2 linked regions of the Neurospora crassa OR74A genome follow. The protein of the gene in region 1 binds, or shares a complex with, the protein of each later gene. Links are inferred from orthologs where the notes say so. Each region holds a gene or a part of one and is shown in the gene's direction. Other genes may lie near its edges.

The links. Proteins that work in one complex are often made in the same cells at the same time.
Region 2: the proteins of NCU07870 (region 1) and NCU04646 are in contact, whole or in part, in a cryo-EM structure (PDB 8FOD), measured with the Saccharomyces cerevisiae proteins. The link is inferred for Neurospora crassa OR74A from reciprocal best matches to the Saccharomyces cerevisiae genes POL1 and PRI2. Residues at the interface, in NP_014297.3 of Saccharomyces cerevisiae: Glu852, Lys853, Gly854, Leu855, His856, Lys857, Asn858, Asp891, Leu893, Lys964, Met968, Asn972, Arg975, Met979, Gln983, Glu986, Ser987, Asn989, Leu991, Asp1003, Pro1099, Glu1100, Leu1103, Gln1104, Tyr1107, Glu1111, Glu1227, Glu1275, Lys1365, Asp1382; in NP_012879.1 of Saccharomyces cerevisiae: Thr71, Leu72, Glu73, Arg140, Ser141, Lys142, Glu143, Ile272, Tyr275, Gln276, Arg280, Asp285, Arg286, His349, Arg351, Tyr352, Tyr353, Arg355, Glu389, Lys390, Lys393, Glu394, Tyr395, Arg409, Lys413, Ser422, Pro424, Arg425, Pro426, Gly427.

The regions. Positions count from the first base shown.
Region 1 is NC_026503.1:1,180,661-1,188,505, reverse strand, and holds the start of NCU07870 (DNA polymerase alpha catalytic subunit), read left to right. Parts: upstream 1-3,284; 5' UTR 3,285-3,459; coding exon 3,460-3,748; intron 3,749-3,839; coding exon 3,840-6,235; intron 6,236-6,284; coding exon 6,285-7,845. Other genes in the region: NCU07871 (hypothetical protein), read right to left, coding at 184-2,676. UniProt on the Saccharomyces cerevisiae protein: Catalytic component of DNA polymerase alpha, which in complex with DNA primase (DNA polymerase alpha:primase) constitutes a replicative polymerase. POL1 has a role in promoting telomere replication during interaction with CDC13.
Region 2 is NC_026505.1:1,345,547-1,353,288, reverse strand, and holds NCU04646 (DNA primase large subunit), read left to right. Parts: upstream 1-3,087; 5' UTR 3,088-3,177; coding exon 3,178-3,367; intron 3,368-3,457; coding exon 3,458-4,643; intron 4,644-4,734; coding exon 4,735-4,900; 3' UTR 4,901-5,126; downstream 5,127-7,742. Other genes in the region: NCU04645 (DUF124 domain-containing protein), read left to right, coding at 898-913, 975-1,001, 1,057-1,782, 1,870-2,219, 2,281-2,454, 2,517-2,561; NCU04647 (actin binding protein), read right to left, coding at 5,249-6,018, 6,299-6,668; NCU04648 (glutamine-dependent NAD(+) synthetase, variant), read right to left, coding at 7,630-7,742. UniProt on the Saccharomyces cerevisiae protein: DNA primase is the polymerase that synthesizes small RNA primers for the Okazaki fragments made during discontinuous DNA replication. In a complex with DNA polymerase alpha (DNA polymerase alpha:primase) constitutes a replicative polymerase.

The DNA.
Region 1 (7,845 bases):
AAAAGGGGGAGAATATGAAGAACATACTGTATTCAACCATAGAGACACACATATGTCCAACAAGACCAATTGAGGTATCAAAAAAAGTGTATTTATATATACAGTAAATGATCATCTGCCGGGCAATCATCCGGAACCAAACTAACTTACAGCCTTATCTAACAAGAACCTATCCACCATTCATCACCAGCTGGGTTTCCTCCCGCTGCTGCCCCACCGATCCTGCTGGCTGTCCCTATCCCATTTCCCTCCTTGACTCTCTCTCGACCATGACGAGCTGTTATTACTCGTTTGCTGGTACCCGTACTTGGAACTGCTCTTCTCGTCCCTCCGCAACTCGTTCCTCAAACTCCTCGTCTTGTCTCTGGGATAACGACTTTCCGTAATATCTTCCCACTCTTCCTCTTCCTCATCCTCTTCGTTCTCCTCTTCTGCCTCTTTGGGCCGTTGTGCCTGCTCCGCCTTCCTCTTCTCATTCGCAGCAACCGCCTCCTCCTTCTTCTTGTTAAGATTCCTCTCAAACTCGTTAGGCTTCGGCTGGCCAAACTCATATTCTTCCCCGGCATTACTAGCCCCCTTCTTCTCCGCTTCTCGCTTCTTCAGGCCCGCCTCCCCATACCGCTCCACCATCTTCTCTCTCCACCTACCCATCATGTCCCCGTCCTTGGCCACATACCGCTCCACCATGTTCTGCAAAATCACCCTCCGTCGCTTCAGCACTTTGAGGATTTCGTCATCGGCACACATGCTATTCAACATGACCTTGTCCATGGCACTGATCATCCGGCGAGCGGTGACCACGCACTCGGACATGTGCGCCCGCACAGCCTTCCACGCGTCTTCCGGGCTCTGCGCCTGCACACGACTGCCAATCGGGTACGAGTATTGGTTGACCATGATCCGATACGGCTGCCACATCTTGTCGAGGGCGAGTATGATTTGCTTGCCCATTGCCTGGCGGGACCCCAGGGGGTCGGTCTCGGCCATCTTCTTGATGTGGCGGAAATTTCCTTGGGCGGATTGCAAAAACAGGCGCATGGCGATGGCGTCCGGGTAGCGGGTCTTCTTGGTCATCACGTCGAAAATGGTGCAGGCGTGCGGAGAAAAGGCGTGCGGGTTTAGTTCGTCGCGGATGCAGGTCGTGAAGGCCGTCTTGAGGATCATGGGCGTGATGAACTCGGCAGGCATGGACTGGAGGACTGCCGCGGTGGCGGCGGAGCCACGACCGATTTGGAGGACGCGCAAGTAGCGGAAGTAGTTGTCCTTGTCTGGCTTGATGGAGTAGGGTGTGGAGGTGAGCAGGTCCCAGTACTTTTGGGCGAGCGAGGTGCGGCGCGTGTTGGAGAGGACGGAGAGGATCAGGGAGAGGGTGTTGTTGCCTGGTTTGGCGTAGAGGCTGGGACTGTGGGTGACGGATTTGGGTTTCTTATCGAACTTGGGCTTGGTTTCGATAGGCTGGACGGTGGGTGTGGTTGAACCAGATGTGGTGGTTTTCGTTGGTGTCGTTTCTGGTGCTTCTGAGGCGGTGGCTTCTGGAGAGGCTGCTTCAGATGAGACCACTGGCGTGGTGGTTATGTCTACGGCCTTAGCGGTCACTTGGGCAGCTGCCTTCTCGCCAGCATGGAATCGCGGGAGCTGCATGGATGAGGACAGAAGCTCAAAAACTCTTTCGTTGTCTTCCTTGGTACCCAAAGTCAGGAGCCTTCCAAAGGAACAAACCAATTCCTCGTCGATCATGAGGTTGGCCTTCTTCCATTGACGCTGTACATCCTCCCATATTTGCAAGCCCCTGTTGATGGCCTCTTGTTTCTCCCGGTTGATATCTTCTTGGTCGCGCTGCATGGGATCCCGATCGAGTGGCAGTCGTGGGTTGAATTGGGCCCGAAGGGCATTGAAGATGATTGTATAGGTCAGGTTGTCGGGCTTGCGCGTGCTTTCGTTGGCTGTTTGTACTGTCGTGAACATGCTGTCCAAATCGCCGGCGCGGGCACATGTCTCGAGGACAGCGTTAAGATGAATTGTGGTTGGCTTCACGCGCTCATTCCTGAGCAAGCTGTGGTAGATCTTGACGGCTTCTGCAACTGCCTGCTTGGGGTGCTCGCTCATGGCGCAGCCTCGGAAGATGATGGTGTAAGTCCTGGCATCTGGAACCTGGGCGCGCTTCTTCATCTCGTTGTAGATCTTGATGGCGGCAGACAGACGCTTGTTCTTCATGTGGTAGTCGATCAGATGGTTCCACGAGACTTGGACCTTTGCGTTCTTGCTGGCCTTGCGGGTGAGAACAAGGGCCTCTTCATATTTTCCTTTGTCAAGGGTCAACTTGACCTGCTTCTCGATGTGGAAGGGATCCTTGAAGTGCTTTAGTTGTAAAGCCGCACTGCGCTCCAGCTTCTTCCGCTGCTCGTCGCTCAGGTCCCTCTTCTTCCTCTTCCCTTCCGACCCGTCTCCATCTTCTTCCCCTTCCGGCGCTTCGAGATCGAGGGTAACGGAGGGATCGGCGGCAGTCTTTGGCTTGAGGGCGGGCAAGTGGTAGGATCGTATGGTGGTCGTGGACTGGCTTGGTGTAAGTGCGCCTAACCTTGGAAGGGCCAGACGAGATCCAACTGCAGGCGCATTTATCCTAGCCAAAGCTCCAGGAGCCAGGCCTTTCCGCAGACAAGCCCGGCACACAAACATGGTTTGCGGACAACCGAGTTTGCCCTTGATTGTTTTGAATCTTTTTCTTCTGCGAGGTACGGGCCGAGGTACCTGTGTTGCTAATGGTCGGTTGGTGGGGTATCTGGATCGTCGAGTTTCCTGTGACGATTTCCTGTTGTTCTAGACAACTTTGAGAATTGGGCGATGTGGTATCAAAGCTATGGCCCGGGAAGAAATCGATATTTGGTATTTTGCTGCGGCGGGCGCACAACTGCCCTGGACTCTGGACGGAGGATGATGCTGAGATGGAGACCGTGAATGATGGCCAAAAGTTAGGATGACATTCCGAAATTTTGGAGACTGATCTACAAAAATGCCTGCCGCGGCCTTTTGCACTTGTGGAGACGCGGTGGGTCGGGGGTCGGCATCAGGTACACTGACAGGGGCCCCGTTGCTGAAAGGTACGTACACTATGTACGTGGGCCACTACGTTGCTTTCCTTAGGTATCCGCTTAGGCCAAAGCAGCAGAACTGCCCCACCTCTTAAACACGACCGTGACGGGGACAAGGGTTCGCGCTTACAGTTTACAGTAAAGTACGCGACGAGTAACGAAACTAAACGCGACTTTCTTTTTGTTACTGGAGGGGACCAATTGAACCCTGTAATCCCACTATATTTCTCTTACGACTCTTGTCACCAACACTACCACATCACGGTGGCCCCGTCGACATTCTCTCCAGAGTGTTGGCCTGGTGCTCCTCTGTTGTCTCGTCACCATCCAATCTCCAATCCTAAAGGCAACATCACAACGGCCTGTCAAAATGTCCAGACGAGTAGCCAAGCGAGACAAGTACGCTGAGCTGCGCGAACTGCGCCAGTCCGGCAAGAAGAAGACCTACGACGTCGGCGAGATCGACGAGCTCTACGAAGAAGTCGACGAGAACCAGTACAAGAAAATCGTCAGAGACCGCTTGAACGAGGACGATTTCGTGGTTGACGACAATGGCGAGGGTTATGCCGACGACGGCCGCGAAGAATGGGACCGTCTCCCCCAGTACCACAGCGACAGCGAGGAGGAATTAGGCCTACCCGGCAGCAAGCCGCGCAAGTGTGAGCAGATCGAGACGCTGAAACCCGACGATGGGAGCAACTTATAAAGCACTCTGGTTCTGGTACTGACCTTCGTTCTCCTCCCTCTTAGCCAAGAAACAAAAGGAACATGAAGATGCGAAACGAGATGCCAACGACAGAGACATCACCGAATACTTCACGAAAGGCGCCGTCAAAGCCCCACCAAAACAAAAGGTCATCAAAACAGAAGAAGATGAAAAGTTCTTGGACGACCTCATCGACCAGGTCACCGCACAAATCCCCGTCCCGGTCACACGAGTATCCAAGAAGCGAGATCGATCAGTCGAGAGGAGAAAGGTCCGGGTGCTCTCCCCGGTACGGGAACCTCGGCCACCCATGGCAAAGAGAGCCAAGACAGTCGATGATCGGGCATCATCCCCAGCAGGAGACGACGACCTTCTACCAGACGACGACTACCTGCCTGCTATGGACGACGAACCTGCACCAGTCTCCGATTATCTTATGAGCGACGCCATCATGCCCTCCTCACCGGCCGCCAAAGTAGCAACACGGAGGACGTTTGGCAGGCCGGAACCCAAAAAGAATGAGGATGATGAGGACGAAGATGAGGACATGATGGAGGTTGCCCATACTGGAGCGGTAACAGCCGCCAGCGTCAACATATCAGCATCCCGTCAAATCAAAAAGATTCTCAAGACAGAGCCCGTCCCGGCCAGTTCGTCACCCGCAAGGGCACCAGCGCCAGAGGTCGACGCTGCTTCCTGGAACGAGATCAATCAGAAGCTCAATGTCGTATCCATGTCACAAAGCGAGGGCAGGAGCGTTGGCAAGATTGACTACAAGGACGCTATCGAAGAAGACGGCAGCTTGAACATGTTCTGGACAGACTACACAGAGGTCAACGGCAGTTTGTGCTTGTTTGGCAAGGTCCTAAACAAAAAGACCAAAACCTACGTCAGCTGCTTTGTCAAGGTTGACAACATTCTCCGGAAGCTTTTCTTCCTGCCGCGCAAGTACCGTGTGCGAGGTGGCGAGGAAACAACAGAAGAGGTGGAAATGATGGACGTCTACAACGAGGTTGATGAAATCATGACCAAGATGAATGTCGGCATGCACAAGATCAAGGCTTGCACCCGCAAGTACGCATTCGAGCTTCCCGACGTTCCCAAGGAGAGCCAGTATTTGAAGCTCCTCTACCCATATACCAAGCCTGCGATGGAACCCACCCACAAAGGCGAAACCTTCTCCCACGTCTTTGGTACCAATACCGCTCTGTTCGAGCAGTTTGTGCTCTGGAAGAACATCATGGGCCCCTGCTGGCTCAAGATCGAGGATGCAGACTTCACTTCCTTGAGGAATGCTTCGCACTGCAAGCTGGAGGTCCTGGTAGAACATCCCAACATGGTGTCGGTCCCGGATAACGCCGAGAGTATTGAGCCTCCTCCTTTGACGTTGTTAAGCCTGGCTATGCGCACAGCGTTCAACCCTAAGGATAATAAGCAGGAGATTCTCGCGGTTAGCGGGAGAGTCTACCTTGATGTGTCGCTCAGTGACACCACTCCCCCAGACAAGCTTGCTTCTCGTAGTTTCACCGCTGTTAGACCTTACGGTAGCGCATTTCCTATCGGCTTCGAGACGCTTGCCAAGGAAAGAAACAGAGGTGTGCTCAAGCTCTTCAAGCAGGAACACGAGATCTTGAATTTCTTGCTCGCACAGATCGATGTTGTCGATCCAGACGTTATCCTTGGCCACCAGCTAGAAGGTGTTGACTACAGCATCTTGCTGAACCGGCTGCACGAGAAAAAGACACATCAATGGTCTCGTTTGGGCAGACTCAGGCGCTCTCAGTGGCCCTCGTCCATTGTTAAGATGGGTGGCAATGTATTTGCCGAACGTCAGATAATGTCTGGCCGTCTGCTATGCGATCTTGCTAACGATGCCGGTAAATCAGTAATGACCAAGTGCCAGACCTGGTCCTTGACCGAGATGTGCAGTCTGTATCTGGGAGGCGAAAGTCGTAGGAGGGATATCGACAACGAAGTCGCCCTGAAGACGTGGGCTAACGCTGACAAACATGGTTTGATGGACTACATCTCCCACGCCGAGACTGACACTTACTTCATCGCGGCTCTTGCACTCAGGACTCAAATTCTTCCTCTTACCAAGGTTCTCACCAACCTGGCTGGTAACTCGTGGGCAAGAACACTTACCGGTACGCGTGCTGAGCGGAACGAGTACATTTTGCTTCACGAATTCCACCGCAACAAATATGTCGTCCCGGACAAGCAGACCTTCAAGGGTCGGCAACGCATCGAGGAGGAAAACGCAGAAGAGGAAGGCGGAGAAGGAGGAAAGAAGAAGGACAAATACAAGGGTGGTTTGGTTTTCGAGCCAGAAAAGGGTCTTTATGACAAGTTCGTTCTCGTCATGGACTTCAACTCCCTTTACCCTTCCATCATCCAAGAGTACAACATTTGCTTTACCACAGTTGATCGAACATCACTGGTAAGTCAGGGTCCTTCCTCCGTTGACGTCACAAGCTAATGCAAAGTAGTCCGAGGACGATGATGCTGTTCCCGAGGTTCCCAAGGAGCAGGCGCAGGGCATTCTTCCCAAGCTGATTGCCACACTCGTTAGCCGACGTAGGCAGGTCAAGTCTCTGATGAAAGACAAGAATGCCACACCTGAAGAGCTCGCCACCTGGGATATCAAGCAGCTCGCCTTGAAGTTGACTGCCAACTCCATGTACGGCTGTCTTGGTTATACCAAGTCGCGCTTCTACGCCCGTCCTCTTGCCGTGCTCACCACCTATAAGGGTCGTGAGATTCTGCGGAGCACCAAAGAATTGGCGGAGAGCAACTCGCTCCAGGTCATCTACGGTGACACGGATTCCGTCATGATCAACGCGAACAAGGACAACGTTGCTGAAGCCCTGCGTGTCGGCCACGAGTTCAAGAAGGCCGTCAACGAGCGGTACCGCCTCCTTGAGATTGATATCGACAACGTCTTCCGGCGCATCCTCCTCCAAGCCAAGAAGAAGTATGCTGCCATCAACATGGTCGAGGTCAACGGCAAGTGGGTTGAGAAAATGGAGGTCAAAGGTCTCGATATGAAGCGTCGTGAATACTGCGGGCTATCCAAGGAGATCTCCAACCGTATCCTCACCGAGATCCTCTCGGGAGACGATACTGAGGTGTCTGTCCAACGCATCCACGAGTACCTTCGTGACATATCTGCCAAGATGCGCGAGGGTGCCGTCCCTGTGCAAAAGTACATCATCTCGACTCAGCTTGGTAAGGCGCCCAAGGATTATCCCAATGCCGACTCGATGCCGCAGGTCCAAGTCGCCCTTCGCGAGTTGGCCAAGGGCAAGACCATCCGTAAGGGCGACGTCATCTCGTACATCATCACAGGCGACAGCAAGACCACCTCAGAAGCCGTCGCCAAGCGTGCCTACACCCCTCAAGACGTGCTCAAGGCCGAATCTGGCCTGTCTCCGGACGTAGAATGGTACATCGGCAAGCAAATATTCCCTCCAGTCGAGCGTCTCTGCGCCAACATTGTCGGCACGTCGACCTCCCAACTCGCAGAAAACCTCGGTCTCGACGTCCGCCGCTACTCTTCCAACACCAACAACAACTCCTCAGGCCCACAAGACCTCGAAATCCACCCTCTCGAGTCCCAAATCCCCGACTCCCTACGCTTCCAGTCCTGTGCGCGCCTCTCCCTCCGCTGTCGCAAGTGCAAAACCTCGCACCCCTTCGAGGGCCTCGCTTCCCCATCATCCGTCAACAACGTCACGCCCTCCGGCATCCAATGCCCCTCATGCCAATACGTCCTCCCCATGCTCAGCGTCGTCGCCCAAGTTGAAGCCGCCGTCCGCGCCCAAACAGCACGCTACTACGAAGGCTGGCTCGTCTGCGACGACTCCTCCTGCGGCAACCGCACGCGCCAGATCTCCGTTTATGGCACCCGCTGTCTCGGATCCAAGGGTCTGGCGCGCGGCGAGTGTGGCGGCCGGATGCGGTATGAGTACACGGAACGGGACATCTACAACCAGCTGGTGTACTTTGCTAGTCTGTGGGACGTGGATAAGGCGAAGAGTAAGGCCAAGG
Region 2 (7,742 bases), on another chromosome or scaffold:
GGTTCAATCTATCTACGTCCGCACTGACCATTCATCACCTTATCGCAGAGTCAACAAACTTCCCCTTTCGTTCAGGAGCTGAACATCGAAGGCCATGAGCGCAGACAGAACTTTATGAACCTTTTTCACATGTTCTCTTACTTTGTTCCCAAACATTCATTCCTCTTCGACGCCCCTTCGACGCACTTTGGTGGGCTAGAATTGGGATTCGCCATCGGAGATCCGAACGCGCACAGGACCCTGCTGAGCCTGTAAGACTTGGCCGCCAATCACGTTCCTCGGTTCCCTCTGTAAGCGCCCTCGTCCCGCGCTTGCACTTATTGCTCCATGGCCCCATGAAGACAAGACGGCGCTCTTCCCTTCCTGTCATCTTCAAGGCCCATTGATTGGGCACTTCATCTTCTCCATACACCCTGAAGCTTGAATTAGAAAGCAGCCCGCACCACAGCCGCTATGGCGGACGCGCAACGAGAGGCCATCTGGGGCACTGTTCAGTCAGTCCCCTGCTACACTAGGGTAGAGCTGCTCAGGTACCAGTGGCACCCTTCAATACAAATGAGTCTGGACGCCGACTTGACGTCCGCGCCAGATGCTCTTTTCTCCGATCCCTTAACTTTTTCTCCCCCGTTTTCTGACTGTGAATCTGTTTGAACCTCTCTTCTTTTGAACCGGCTTCTCACCATAGCTATCTCCATTCTCTGCTGGTGGTCTCACAAACTCGGGCAACACAAGTGATCTGCAGTCAGCTTCTTTTATAAGTGCGGGGAATCCCTCGAGTTTACTCCAAAAGTTCCCATCGAGACTTGGCGAGGTTCATCAAGACAAGGACCATTCCTTTAACAAGCTCAAAACTATCTGGGAAAGGATTCCTGTGTTCGAGAAAAACAAACAATCAATATGTCTTACTATCCTCGTGAGTATAATACGCTCTTCAGTTTGTTATTGTTATATGATAAAGCTAACAAGTATGTCAGCACCTCCTGGAGCATCCGGTGCTGCAGGTATGTTCCAATGTTGAAAAGCGGATGGAACAGTTGATACTGACGAGGACAACAGCCCCTGCTCAACACAGCTACCCACCTCCTCCCATGTCTGCTCCTCCAACCCAGACAAAGTTCTCTTACCCATCTCCTCCGACCACCCAGCAGCAAGGAAGGCATTATCCTCCTCCTCCTCAGTCCGCCGGCTCGTCTGCCACGCCGCCGCCCAAGTCATCCACTCCTTCGTACCCCTTTCCTCCTCAGCAGCAGCAGCAGCAGCAGCAACAGTATCAACAACCACCACAACAACAATTCTCCCCACCACCGGCCCAGCAATTTTCCCCACCACCGACTCAACAACACCAGCAATATGCGCCACCACCAGCCCAGCAGCAAGTGCAGCAACCGCAGCCTCAATACGCGGCTCCCCCAGCCCAGCAGCAACATGCTCCAACCGCCCTCCCTCTGCACATGAGGACCGATTCCAGCGCGTCCCGAACTTCTGCCCACACCCCTCCTCCTCAGCAACAGTTTGCCGCTCCTCCGCCGTATGCTCAAGGCGAGCAGCAGCCCCAGCAGCAGCAGCAGCCAGCACCCACACAACCGGTTGGTCTGGGGTTGAGCACTTCGGCAGCGGCTGCCATTACTGGTGCACCCGCCGCCGGACAGTTTTCCGGTGTAGGTGCGGTGTCGGATGACGTGGGAACGTTCAATGGTGGCAGTTACCGTATCAGCCATCGGGATTGCAATACTATTTTGACTGTGCAGTTGGCGATCGGTTGCCCGTTGGATGCTAAGCCGGGTATGCTTTCTCTCTTGAAATTCACTCCATAGGTGTATCCAAACGAGTGTGTACTTGGCTAACAGTCTCTATCTTATTCTCGCACAGGATCAATGATCGCCATGTCCCCCTCCATGTCCCTCAAGGGAGCCTACAAGTTTGGCTTGAAGAAACTTGTTGCCGGCGGCGAGATGGGCAGCTCGACTTACACCGGTCCGGGTGAGTTGCTTTTGGCCCCTGCCATGCTCGGCGATATCACGAGTCTCCGCCTGGATGGCTCCCAGACCTGGTCTGTCAGCCACGATGGATACCTTGCTTCGACGCAGAACGTCACCAAGGACTATAAGCGCCAGGGACTGGGAAAGGCCATGTTCTCTGGTGAGGGATTGTGGGTGTACAAGATTAGTGGCACGGGGCTGTTGTGGCTGACGAGTTTTGGTGCCATTGTTCGGAAAGATGTGAGTTATCAGTTGTCTGAAGTCCGAGTGGAAGGGTGCGGGTTGCTAACAGAGGAGACAGCTGGCGGACGGCGAGAAGTACATTGTTGACAACGGCCACTTGGTCGCATGGAATACCAAGTACGTTCTGGAACGTGTTGCTTCCGGCGGCTTACTATCGGGCTTCGCTTCTGGCGAAGGACTGGTGTGCAAATTCACTGGCCCTGGAACAATATTCATCCAGACAAGGAATGCGGTTTGTCAAACCCCACACCAGCTTGATACGTTTGGACATGACATAAACTAACTTTTATAAAGACTGCCTTTAGTGCGTTTATGACCGGTCAAACAGCAAAGGCCTAGAGCTGGATTAGGATGTAGGAGTCGTACGGGAGAGTGATACCTGTGGCGGTCGCATTTGAGGCTGTGAACCTCGCATCACTTGATGTCCTTTCATTCTGTTTATTTTGAGTTTGTTAGCGATGTCATGTCGGCTTTGAGATGTGTTCGGGAATAGTTAAAATGTCAGTATCAGTGAACCATGAGCCTCTTGTCCTGTCCTTAGACTAGAAGCTTGACAGCTTCGTTTCCGCTTGGCAACCTATCGATCCGCCATGAATGAGGTTTGGGAAACAGGCGACATAGGCCTGGCTCTCCAAACAATGATACGAGAAGATCCCACCGGGAAAAGACAGACTGAGAAACTTTGAACAGTGGAAAGAAAGTCCAAGTTTGCGAGTAAAAGGGTCTTCGGTGACCGGCTGGCTTTCTAGGGTTAGGGTCAAAGCAGCATCGCGCCCAACTTCACGGACAAAATTACGCCTGTGATTGGCCAGCTTTTTAATTGATTTTGTAAGAGCTGCGCGTCAAGGTAACTTTAGACGCGTCTCCCAGACCAACATCATCCCCAGTCCACGGCTTCCAACCGACAACCTCCCACGTCAGAAAGCCAGGAGGACAGTCCTACCAAGTCTCCATCATGCTACGATCAAACGTCAGTCGCATCGACCCCAAAAGGCGAAACGTCCTCGACCACCGCAAGAAACAATTCGCAGAAGCCGCCTACAAGGACACCGATTATCCCCATCGGCTCAACTTCTACTCGACCCCTCCAACAGCCGACATCACCATTGAGCAGTTTGAACAATGGGCCATCGACAGGTTACGAAGTATGTATCATACCACGCTCATATCTCAGTGATCTACAATACTGGGCGTGCCTCTAAACGCTAATCAACCTCTTTCTTATCATAATCCAGTCCTCGCCGAACTCGAAGCATGCTCCTTCCGTAACAAAACCCCCGCCGAGACGGCCTCGCACATGAAACCTTTACTCGACAAGTACCTCCCGCTCGACACCAACAGCTCCTCCTCCTCCCAGCTCTTCGCCCAGCGGCAAAAAGACCACTACAGCCACTTCATCCTTCGTCTCGCTTTTGCGTCCACGGAGGACCTCCGACGCCGCTTCACCCGCGTCGAAACCATGTTATTTCGCATGCGCCTGAACGCCGACGACGGTCGCGAGCGCGCGGCTTTTATAAACTCGCTTAATCTCGACTGGGAGACTGTTTCGGACGAAGAGAAGCGCGAACTAGCTGCCGAGTTGGCAGCGACTGCCTCCTTCGGCGGCTACAAAAAGGGACAACAGCAGCAGCAGCAATACGAAGAAGACCAACAAACATGGTGCAAAGTCTCGTGGCTGCGCGTCCCCGAGCTGGTCGAACAGCGGCGCGTCTTTCTCCGACAAGGCTACGCCTACGTTCCCGCGCGCGAACAGCAAGCGATGGTCGTTTCGGAATTCTCGTCCCGGCTGGAACGACAGCTCGAGTTAACCGCCCGGGCCCTTCCCCGACTAGACGAAGACGACCGCTTGACGCCCATCCTGGCACACTTGTCCAAGAACTTTATCACGCCCGACGCTTCGTACGTAGGTACTTCATCCGCCATCTCCTCGGCGGATATCTCAGCCAGAAACATCGACACGCTGGTGAACAACCACCATTTCCCCGCTTGCATGTCCCATTTGCATCGCACCCTGCGGCGGGACGCGCACTTGAAGCACTACGGTCGTCTCCAGTACACCCTCTTTCTGAAGGGCATCGGCCTCAACCTCGAAGAATGCTTGCTATTTTGGCGACAGAGTTTCAACAAAATCACCGACGACACGTTCAACAAGGAGTACCGGTACAACGTGCGACACACGTACGGCGACGTGGGCGGCGACAGCAATCGGCGCGGCGGCGGTTACTCGCCATATTCGTGCCAAAAGATTCTCACAGAACATCCTCCCGGACCGGGCGAGGCGCACGGGTGTCCGTACAGACACTTTAACATGGAGAATCTGCAGACGCTGTTGCAGCAGGGGATGGGGGTGACGGATCGCGGGGTGTTGAATGGGGTCAAGGAGGATAAGGAGAAGCAAAAGTTTCATATGGCTTGCAATCGGTATGTTTCTCCCCGCCGCCTTGCTGCTGCTACTCTCTTGACGCTGCTGGACTTGAGCAGTGAATTAACGCTGATGTGGGATACAACCCAGGGTATTCGAACATCTTCACAAGGAAGAACTCAAAAAGGCCAAGGATGAGGGTATCATGACTGCGGCGCAGCTTGAGACTATTGTCCACCCCAACGAGTACTTCAAGCGGAGTTACTTGCTGAAGAATATGGGCAAGATGCAAGGGGATGTCAAGATGGAGGGTTGAAGATACCATGCATGGTTGATGCGGACGAGCTTGAAAAGAGGTTCGATGTGGAAATATGGATGGGCATGGGATGTGGGACCCGGGTTTCTTTCTGTTGTAGTATTTTCTGGCGTTCAGGCGACATAGCGACGACATGACACTCGTACAAGTTCACCCACACACACATGTATGGGATATGATTTGATGAACATCATTAACTTGATCATATTCAACATGTAGATTTATGGTTCTGACATGCTATCCCATACCACGAGTACAGCAGACACCAAAAGAACTAGGCAACACATCACAGGTAATCAAAAGGTGAACAGAAAGTGGTGAGAAATGGGTATCAATTGTTTATTCTTTCTACTGCGGCAATGGCTTCCTGAAGCGACCTTGCAACCAGCAGCGGTACATCTTCAGCTTCTTTGCCCGGTTGACGAGCAATCTACGATCGACACCAAGGTCCTCAATCACGAAGCGGATGTCAGGCTCAGAAGCGTCCTCGACCTCACTGTCCTTGGTAAACAGCTTGCCCGACCAAATATCGGCCAGCTCGTCTTTCTCAAAGAAGTAGACGCGAGTGCCATCACCACGAATGTAGAAGTTCTCGTCCAGATAACGACCCTTCTTGAAGCGGACCTGAGCCAAGTCTCCTCTTCCATAGTCACGGAAGCACACTTCACCGCCGGGCTTGAGCACACGGTAGACATTCTCGACGGCCTTCTTCCACTGCAACGGGGACAATGCAGAGAAGATAAACACCATGAGGGCGACGTCCACCGAGTTCTCATCAAGGTGAGGGGGCAGCTCGTCGCCGGCCACGTCCCACACATCGGCCTGCATCTGGTCCGTGTTGTAGGCCTCGTGCGAGCGCATGACCTCGACGGCCTTCTTGGAGAAATCACAGGCGTGGATCTTCAGTTCGGGGTTCTTGTTCTTGGACAGGATGGGGAAGGCCGTGTTGCCCGCGCCAGCTCCTATTTCGAGGAGGGTGCAGGGGCCGTATCCCTCAGAGGTGACCTTGTCCAAGATAGGGAACTCCTGCTGAAGCCACTTGCGATCCTTGAAAAAGTTGGCGGTGTTATTCTTGTAGAACTGGTTCCACCACTTTGCAGGGTCCGAGTTGAACCGGTCTGTTGCAGGCAAGTTGAGTTAGCAGACTGCTCCAAGGTCTGGATGTGGTAGCAACTTGGTGTTTGTTTGAAACAGAACCCAATGGTAAAGGGCAAAATCAGATGGGAGCGAAAGACTATAAAATACGTAGTTGTCTTCATGAATAATTCAGATGAACTATGCTTATGATTGTAAATCATCACGGAAGCCCAAGAGAGAGGTGCAATGGGTATGAACCCCTCTCTTAGCGTGAACCATTGGGGAGAGCGAGGTGTGAAAGATGGACGAGTGGCTACTTACGCTTATCAAAGTCCGAGACGGGCGCATTGCGCTGCATCTCGTACTGCTGTTCAGCATACTCCTTGTATGCGTCATCAGTCTCGACATGATCCCACGCGTTGAACTCAAAGACGTCATCCTGCTCCTGCAGATAGCGAGATCCGAACTGAAACGGGTCGCTGCGCTTTTGGTTGAACTGGGGATCGTGGGACCGGTGGGGAGGCTGCTGTTCCTCCTGCTGCTGCTCAGGCTGCTGTTTCTCCTCGGCTATTTCGAGCTTGGAGATCTGGGCAGCGAGCTGCTGCTCGGGCTGTTGTTGTTGTTGTTGTTCATCGACGACAACCTGTGCCTCGGTAGAGGCGACAGGAGCGACGACGCCATTCGATGCCATGGCGAAGGACAATGTTGGAGGATCCTGGTTAGTGCACTGGTAAAAAGATGCAGCTAACAATCACCACTGGTCATTGAATGGCACTGGCTTTGTTGAAAGGTTGACGCAGCATATCGTGCTGGTTCTTGAACCGCGGAGGGAACGAAGAATGAAGAGACGGAGAGGAGAGGAGGGGGAAAAGATTTGCAAATTCCGAAACGAGGAAAAGTACAAAAAATGGTCCAGAGCCTGTGGAGCCAATTGGGCTGTGGAGGGGGCCCACCCAACTTTGCACTCAGTGGGCACAAGCTCCGACTGTCTTATCCTTATCTACCCCTAACCCTGGTTGTCCATTGAGGTTGTCGCATCAAGGAGCTGTCCCTCACTCGCCCCCGAATTCGAATCTGGAGATAACTCGCAGACAAATACTTGAAAATCGATAGAATCAAGATCTTGATGCTGGAATACGACCAAATGTGTGAAGTAGATATGATTCAGCGTTCTTCCCCCAGCCGAACCGTTCGACCTTCGAGTCCCGCAGCAGCTGCCGTACCTTCCCTACGGCTCCTTCATCCGATCTCAACCTCAACGCTAATGACCATATTAGGGACCCGGTTGGTCCCTAATTTCAACAACAACCGCTTGGTCAGATGGCACAACGGTCTACCGTTTGAGTTCTCAAAACTCAAAAACCTATTGCCTGTCCGGATCGGGAACGGTGTGCTAAGATACGGAAAGGGGTCTTCACATCTAGTAGCCGGTCTACCTATATGGTATCTGGGAACGCTCCAGTCGACAGATGAAATCAAACGGTTCACCGATGCTCTGACCGGGCGGTTGTTGTTTTTTGCTCCTCTCCTCTCCTCTCTTGCTTGCTTGGAGAGAGGTGGTGCGTTCGAGCCAGTCGTCGATAATCTTTTTTTGGCTTCTTAAATTTCATTTGAAGACTACCGAACACATTCTAGTCGAGTATTTGTCGACACTAAGCAGTCTCCTTGCCCTTTCCCGCACGCTCCTCCCTCTTCTTCTCGATCCTCTCAAGCTCCATATCGATCCTCTTGAAGCTCCAGCTCTTCCAGAAGGGGGGATACAAGA